Linked DNA regions of Schizosaccharomyces pombe. The protein of the gene in region 2 interacts with the protein of the main gene of each other region in a pairwise test. Each region holds a gene or a part of one and is shown on either strand. Other genes may lie near its edges.

Region 1 (4,887 bases), on a different chromosome or scaffold from region 2:
GTTAGCTATTTTAATTTAAAAATTATATGTCTGCGTACCGCTTATAGCATAATGTTGATATCGCGAAGAAAATTAAATTTTTAAGAGTAAAGTCAGACTTAGTTTGCAGAATTTCCTCTTTGTATGAATTCATTTGTCATTTATACTTAGAAGTAAAGGGTATTTGATAAGTTGATATCTATATATGGTAATTTTGTGAACGCGTCGAACGCGTCTTAAGTGTACGTATATTACAGTCCCACCTGTGGTTTTCCAACACTTTAAACTACACTAAAATGGCTTACATAGATAAATGGAATGCGAAAAGCATGTTTTACGATGAAGACATTTGGTAGCTTATGAAGTAATGTAAAAGCCTTTTGTTAAATTAAATGTCTTTTTACATTTACAAAGCTAAAATGTTTGTTTTTTTATTTACTATAGTTTGCTAATTATAAAAATATAGTACGCTTTTGGGTAGAATGGACGCTATTTGAAGCTAAGGATTCAAGAAATTCGCTTATCCCTTTGGTAAAAAAATTTTGGCCTCAACAAACGAATTTAACACTAAATAATTTATAAATGTAGAATAGATCATTTAAAAAAATATTATTTTGCATTCTTATTAGATATTTAAAAAAGAAAATTATGAGTAAACATTTAAAAGTCAACAAACAATTAGACAAATATTATATGATAGAGGAGTTTCCAGAATAAATAGCATGAATCTATTTCAGTTTGGAAACGTAAAATAAAATTTCGAGATCTTTTATAGATTTCTAGTATCTCAACTTATAAAAGCTCAAGAAGATTTAGTAGATCCAAACTCTAGGACCTCGATCCAAAAACGGTTATTTCTTAAAACAGCAGCCACACATACATTTTCATTATAAGCAACTTGCCAGATTATATCCAAATCAGTCAATAGGTCTCTTACTAACTTTCCGGAACGAATGTCCCATAACTGTAGCGTACTATGGCTTCCACTGACAACTTTGCTCTCGTCGTGTTGAAAAAATATGTGTCCCAAAGGACATTTTAAAATATCTCGACAACTTCCGGTGTTTAGATCCCAAACTCTCAACGATGTATCAGGAGGAGCAGAAGCGGATACCAAGATATTTTGGTTAAATGTAACTTGACTTACCAAATTCGAATGACCATGAAGGGTCTGTAGAAGTTCTCCAGACTCAAGGTTCCAAATACGAATTTTAGCATCCGTACCAGCGCTGATACATTGTTGACGAGAAGGATTAATTGTGACACTGTATACTCTCCCGACGTGTCCCCGAAGAACATGTAAACAAACGCCAGTAGATGCCTTCCATACTCTAAGAGTACCATCATAACTGGCACTGACAATCAAATCTCCAAGACAAGCAACTTCACGTACCGAGTCCGTATGACCACGTAATGTTCGGATGTAAAACGGATTGGTCGTAGCTGAAGTAAAGTCATTATTCTGATCAGGATTTTCATTTACATTAACAAATGGTGGATCGTCAAGGCATGGAAGACTCCATAAACGGATCGTACAATCCCTTGAACTTGAAATTATATACGGAGGCATTGAATTAGCATCATTTGAAGCTGGTCTGTTTTCTTTTTCCACATCATCAGTATCAGTAGTACTTTGATTGCCTTGAACTATTTTGATACAACGGATTGTTGACGTGTGTCCATAAAACACCTGTTTACATTCACCGGTTCTAAGGTCCCAGACTCTTACTGTCCTGTCTGTGGAGCCAGTAACCAAAGTATCCCCAACGTATTCAAAAGTCCAAACATCACCTTCATGCTCTTCTAAACTGCGTATCAGGACACCTGTTTTCGTGTCATATATATTAATTCTAGGACTGCAGGTGCTAACAATTATTTTGTCATCATCAAACTGAAGTTTGGTAATAAGACGAACTCCATGAATTGGGAATGAACATCGCTTAATTTTCTCCGGGGCATGGAGCCATCTTTCACGAAGATTAAAATGTCTAAAATAGACCCGCTTCATTATCGCACAGGCTGACAAAGATTGTTCTAAACACATCGTACGGATTTTACTATCAATTGAATCCCAAAAGAAACCATCTTTTAAAAAGAGACTTTTCCAAAGTTCTTCGTTGGACGATACCAACTTATACCAGTGATGCGAAACTTGCGAAACTGCACACAATGAAGGTGCATCTAAATGCGTAAGCACTAAATTTGTAATCTCAGCCGGAAATCCAGTTAAAAAGTTCTTTTGAAAGATAGGAAGCAGAATTTTGTGAATATTTTGAACAGCATGTTTTCCACATCGAGAAAGAAGATGAAAAAGTAAGTATTGACGAACACTTTCGGGTAATTTTTCGAAGGAAGAAATTAATTGTGCTAATTTCAAAACAGCATTTTTTTGAGAGCTCAAATGATTAGAAGGATGAATGCTAGGATTTTCTGAAGAAAAATCATATATGACAGGTTCATGCAAAGAATTATGTGAAGATGAAGATGAATGAGGGGGAAAAGATTGACGGGTTTTGGAATCGTTGCCGAGTAAATTAGGAGAAAAATAAGAGTAATTAACAGAATTATTTGGTGCATCAAGTGAGAATGTTGTTTCACTAGCGACTTCCTTACTGTCACAGTTGTTTGGGTAGAAAACGTTCGAGTAGTTAGTAGAAGGAAAAGTTTCATTCTTTTTATTCCCATCACTTTGAGAATTGAAGAGAAACCGCTTATTAGCATGCAAATTAGAGCTGAGACTAGAGTTACGGCGTTTAAGGCACTTTTCGCGATGCTCTGACGGCAGCTCACAACTCAAATGGGGCCGGTTAAGATCACAATGTAGATATAAAAGATTTTGCAAGTTTTCCAAATTTTCTTTATCAGATAAACATCGATTGTTAGTAAATATCATCGATTGCTGACTTCCCTTGCTATCAAATTGTAGACTAACACGACTAAGCTCCTCGGGAATTCTGGTCATTATATTATTTCCTTCCAGGAGATCTTTTTTAGTGGAACATGGAGAAAATCTCTCGACATTTGGCCGGGGAGAAGAGGAAACATCAATACTCGGTGATACCATAGTTGTCTCACCGAAAAATTCATTGGAATCTAAAACAGATAGGCTATCTTTTTTCTTCTCATTCATTTCAAGTAGTTTACAGACACTTAGTAGAAAAGTATTTGTCAAGTTCTTTTATGATGTTAGAGAACCTGGTTCAAGAATCGATACTGATGAATTTACTTAAAACAACTGCCCGTTGGGAAACATGTATATGAAATTATTTTGCAAATAGTTATCGTCTTAATGCATTAGAGCAATACTTTTTCTTGGTTTTTTTGAAGTTCAGCGAGATAGATCGTAAAGACCATAAACTCTTGGCAATGAATTTTAAATTCACTCTACGCAAGCGGAGGTGTAAGTAACACCAGAATAAGTAACAATTTTACTGTTGATTAAGAAAAGTTTTTATAGTTTATGGTAAATACGACTAAATCGCGACATAACAATAGTTCAATAAGAAAAGTTATATGACTTAGTTATGGCTCCTCAATATTATTTTTTTTTACATTATTTGCGATAGTGTTTTAATTGTATACCAGATATTAACCTCCTCAGCATTTTCAAATAAATTCTCTAAAGACAAAAACAATGAACACGTGAAGTATTCATATTATAAAATTGTCTTTTCCGTTGCGTTTTTGCAGCTAAAGAATGCAGACACAATAGTAGCTCGCGAATTTCATTACACGCCAATAAAGTTGGGAAAGAGATTACCCTCCCCTGTCATATTCTAAATGACACGGACACATATAATAATTTATTAATAAAATTTGAGCATGAGCGTAAAATGTAAAATGTCAGACTAAGATGGCGTTTCTAGTACATCATTTTCTTAGGCCGTTGAAAGAAATTTTTTGTCTCGTCAATGACATGCATCGGGTAATTTCGGCAGGCATTGGGCTATTATTCGACTTCTCTCCATTCAAAATTTGACTTAATCTCAGTATCCAAAGAAGCGTCAAATACGCTACCAAGATAAATAATTAAATTGTTATCCGTAAAAGTTCTTAGCATAGCAAACCGATAAACCGAGTGTAAACACGATATTAATTAATTAATATTATATCATATTTAATGAGCTGCAGAACATCATTTGCCGAAATGCACCGAGCCTCTTATATCTAGGATGATTTGTATGTACCAGATTACTTTCCCAAGAGATTATTAAATATATTTAATAGTATTAGGAGAAAATCAATATAACGTTGAGTCGAGCCAACGTATTTGTAAGTTAGGTATACAGGGATGTCATTAGGCTTACGTACACCGCGCAATTCAATTGCAAAAGGCCCAGGGGACCAAGAACTTCCTTATGATAAGAAAGCTAAAGCGATAAACAAAAATTAAATTACTTGGCTTGGAAATAATAATAATTTGCTTTGAAATGAATGATTGAACGCCCCGCGACCCCGGGACAGTATAAATTTTCCTGGGGTAGATCAAATTCACGCATTTAATTGGTTGAATTTATCAACTGACTTTTAAGTTCATTTTTAATTAAGTTATCAGCCAATGAATACAAAGCCGATAGCAAGGCAAGCAATGATTGGAGCGCAATAGTTGACTGTTTTGGCGCTAATTATTTCGGGTTTATGGTTAGAAATTTTCTGAAAAAATCAACGTTGAAAACTTACAGGCTTTCATGGTTAATTAGTGGCAAAACGCCACGGCTCTTAATCAAAAGATGGTGAAGTGCTTGAAAAAAGAAATGTATATAAAGCTGAGCTGATTTTTAGGGAAAAGCCGTGAGCTGAAATTAAACAATCAGAACCGCAAAAGGTAAAGACCATTATATTCTTTACCATCTTTCTTTTATTTTCTAGTATCAAGTTACTAGCATATCCTATCGTTTATAAAGTCAA
Region 2 (3,640 bases):
TATATCTATGTAATTTGAAAAAAAAGACTGAAACATTTTCATCACAAGTCGCAAAGTCTACAAAAAAAAAATTCTAATGGGATAAAAACCTCAAACGACCTAAAATGTTAAGCAATAAAAAGTCCAAGGTCAATAAACATAAGTCCAAAAATGTCCAATGGGAGGGAAAAATAAATAGAGGATTTTGCAACGATTAGGGCAATCGTAATTAATAAAATTAACAATGCAAACAACTAACAATCAATCGTTTAGGAATTATTCATCAAATTCAGTATTTAATTACTTTGTGGTCAAGAGTTAAAAAATAAATGTCTAATTGCCTCGGGTAATTGAAGGAGTTAATGAGAGATATTATGCTGTGGTGATGGTAAACAGAAAAGCATATGTTGCCGAAAAAAAACACACCCCGGCGTAATTATTTTTTTGTTTATTTTACATTTGGTAAATTACCTCAATTAAATGACTCTGTTTAAAATTTATATTGATATTAAATTAATATCTATCTGAGTAACTTAAAATGATGTTCGACGGTTCTGAAGTACATGACTACGAAAATAAAGTTTTTTATATGCAGATGTGAGCTAGTAAATTTCATATGACTAACTAAACATTCTATATAAAATCATAATATGAAACCATTCAGGAATAGAATTTGACATATAATCATTAAAGTATGCAATTCGTACGGGTCTTAATACATGAGCAACATATCTGTATTGGGAACAAACATTTCCTAATCAATATATTCAGCCATATAGGTAGAAGATGGTACTTTAGTTTACTGTTTTTAATAAAAAACTGTCAACGCAGCTCAAATTTGCTCCGCTCCACCTCACAAAAAGGTTGATTGCAATTTTGTATGAAACGTAAAAGATAAAATGGATGCATTTTAAGACTGATTACATGATAACATTATTACTCTTTCTTTTCGTTACTGCCAACTTCCTCTTCCTCTTCGAGTTCAGGTTCGCTGTCACTAGCATCTTCACCAGCTCCAGCTCCTCCAAGGTTACCAAATTGACTGAAGTCCATACCGCCCATACCTCCAAGTGCGCTCAAATCTGGCATGCCACCTGCGCCAAATGGACTAACTTCAGGTTGTGCTTCTTGCTCATCCTCGTCAACCCAACGATCAAAATCCGTTCTGAGCCAGTGTAATCGAAGTTTCTCTTTAGTAAGACGAGGCCAAAACTCTTCTTGTAATTCCTTCTTGTATAAGACGAAAAAGATGTAGCGGCCGGTAACAGAGTACTTGCTTTTCTCGACATCAATGTCCTTAAAAAAGTCAATTTGAACTGCGTAATGAGCGTTGGCTCCAGATTTGCTATCGATAACTAGTTTTTCAGGTGTCAAATTAATTTTTGGGTCAACAGCATCCGGAATTAAAACGGTGAGGTAAATTACGTTCTTTTCAGCATCATCCTTATTGGATCTTTGTGCCCATAAAACTAAACGAATGTTAGTAACAAGCACTAATAAAACACGCAAATAAATGTACATTGGAAAACAGAATATACAAAACCGCTAATCAAATATTTTATGTGAAGAAACCGAAGAAAATACTATCTTCAAACGAGAATTATTCGGCTTATTCTCGTCTCAGATTCTTCGCAGTATAAGGTGTTACGGATTTTTGTTGTAACATACCTTCAGGAATTTGTGTATTTAAACTCATTCTTTAATGATAAAAAGTATAGGTAAATAATAGGTTCAATATGGTAATTTTATGTTGAAACTTTTCAACTGTGAACTGCTAAAGTGGTTTGTCTAGTGCAGGTTCTTGAAGTCACCTACATTATATAGTGAACTATAAGTCACTGGGTACGGTATTTTCTAGAACATACGCTCAAGTATTCAAGACTGTGCCAGAAGCGTCTAGGGAATAAAATTGTTAAATTGCAGTTTTAATAGTTATCCTTGTTGATCGATTTTAGAAAATTGAGTCTGTTTAACGTCAATTGTCAAGAAGCTGATCAATTAATTGATTTCTTGTAAAACGGGATTTTAAAATCCTAGAAGCCGCTTTTTTAATCAATTCATAAATTGAAAAGACCAACTTGATGTACTCTATTTGAGGACTATTCGGTTTACGCTGATTTGAGGATTCTTCGTTTGAACAATTGAAGAAGTAAGACTTTTTTTAAAGGTTTCATATCATTTCGGTTTCAGTATCATTTTTTTAGAGAGATTTGTGTCAGTTTTGTTTTTCATAACTTTCTTTCCTTGTATTATTGCATAATCATCCATCGTTTTTGTTTTTTTTTTAATTGGTAAACGGGGAATTTACGTGTTTATCCATTTTTTCCTATCACCCAGCATTTCTCATATTTTATTATCAAAATGCAAACTGTAAGATCTTATTTCTTTGGTCCGACGCCTCAAGAACAAAACAGAAAATGGCAATCCATCATTCGAAAAGAACAACGACAACTAGATCGGCAGGTATACCATCTTAAAGCAGGCAGGAAAAAGGCAGAGGTTCAGCTGAAACAATTGGCAAAGCAATCTGATATTACAAATATGCGTATATTGGCTAAAGAAATTGCCCGTGCAAACCGACATGGTAAAAGACTCGCCGAATCAAAAGCTTTATTAGGAAGCCTAAGTCTACAACTGAATGACCAGATGGCTATGTTAAAGATACAAGGTACTATGCAATCCAGCACAAAGATAATGCAAGATGTATCATCTTTAATTCGTCTTCCCCAACTCTCGGAAACTATGAGAAATCTGTCTATGGAACTTACAAAGGCAGGTGTCTTAGAGGAAATGCGTGATGAAATGTTTCTACCAGTAGAAGACGATGAAGAATTGATGGATTTGGCTGATGAGGATGAGGAAGTCCAAGAAATTCTTACAAAATATAATGTCATTCCTGCACCTTCAGAAAAAGCAGCGGATGCTGCTACACATCGTGAACAATCACTCAAACAAGCACTTCCATCTTTATCCAATGGGATTGCTAAAGACTCTACTGAAATTGATGAAGAACAATTGTTGGACATTCGTGATAAGCTAGATGCTTTGAAATCCTAAACGGTTTAAATATTTTTTCTTTCTCTGCTTCTAATTTTACATGTTTATTCTTTGTATTATATCATTTAAACTGATTTCCTTGCATATTTAACAAAACTCCCTGCATTACGGTTGTAGTAATTTTATGGCACAAAATTCTTTTTCTCGTTAAATTTTCATCAGTAGCATATGAAGTAATTATGCATCATGGACCGCCTTCCTATATCATTCAATTTTTGGCAGATATATTCAATAAGTAGGCTTCATATCTTTCCTTTGCCTTTGTTATTGAATACAAAATACTCATATATCCACCGCTGTTGAACATTACTCCATTAAAAAGAAATGCTTGTTCTTTTTGGTCAGCCAGAAAATTGGCATGAGCAGGATTTTCGTGCTGTAGATGATAGGGTTCGTGGAGGCTCTTCGATAAGTCATCTCACTGAGGAGAAGGATAGTGATGGGAAATCTCGCGCCAAGTTTTGGGGCACTCTTGATACTAAGACCTTGGGAGGCGCTGGATTCTGTAGTCAGGCTACTAATATCAAGGATAGGACGTGGAACCTGAAAGAGTTTAAAGGAATTGAGCTCGATATTGCTAAGAGCGATTCTTATAAATATACTT

Evidence for each region. The genes of interacting proteins can lie anywhere in the genome.
Region 1: the proteins of wos2 (region 2) and pop1 interact in a two-hybrid assay, tested with the Schizosaccharomyces pombe proteins (one large-scale study listed by BioGRID).

Annotation. Positions count from the first base shown.
Region 1 is NC_003423.3:3,467,565-3,472,451, reverse strand, and holds pop1 (cullin 1 adaptor protein Pop1), read right to left. Parts: upstream 3,325-4,887; 5' UTR 3,110-3,324; coding exon 782-3,109; 3' UTR 567-781; downstream 1-566. Other genes in the region: synaptonemal complex-associated protein hop1, read right to left, coding at 39-133.
Region 2 is NC_003424.3:4,467,321-4,470,960, forward strand, and holds wos2 (p23 chaperone protein wos2), read right to left. Parts: upstream 1,770-3,640; 5' UTR 1,676-1,769; coding exon 1,648-1,675; intron 1,449-1,647; coding exon 916-1,448; 3' UTR 567-915; downstream 1-566. Other genes in the region: abc1 (ABC transmembrane transporter Abc1/Ybt1), read right to left, coding at 1-42; ESCRT III complex subunit Vps24, read left to right, coding at 2,341-3,036; SPOM_SPAC9E9.15 (protein CIA30), read left to right, coding at 3,361-3,640. UniProt on the Schizosaccharomyces pombe protein: Cell cycle regulatory protein that interacts with cdc2 in the control of the M-G1 transition.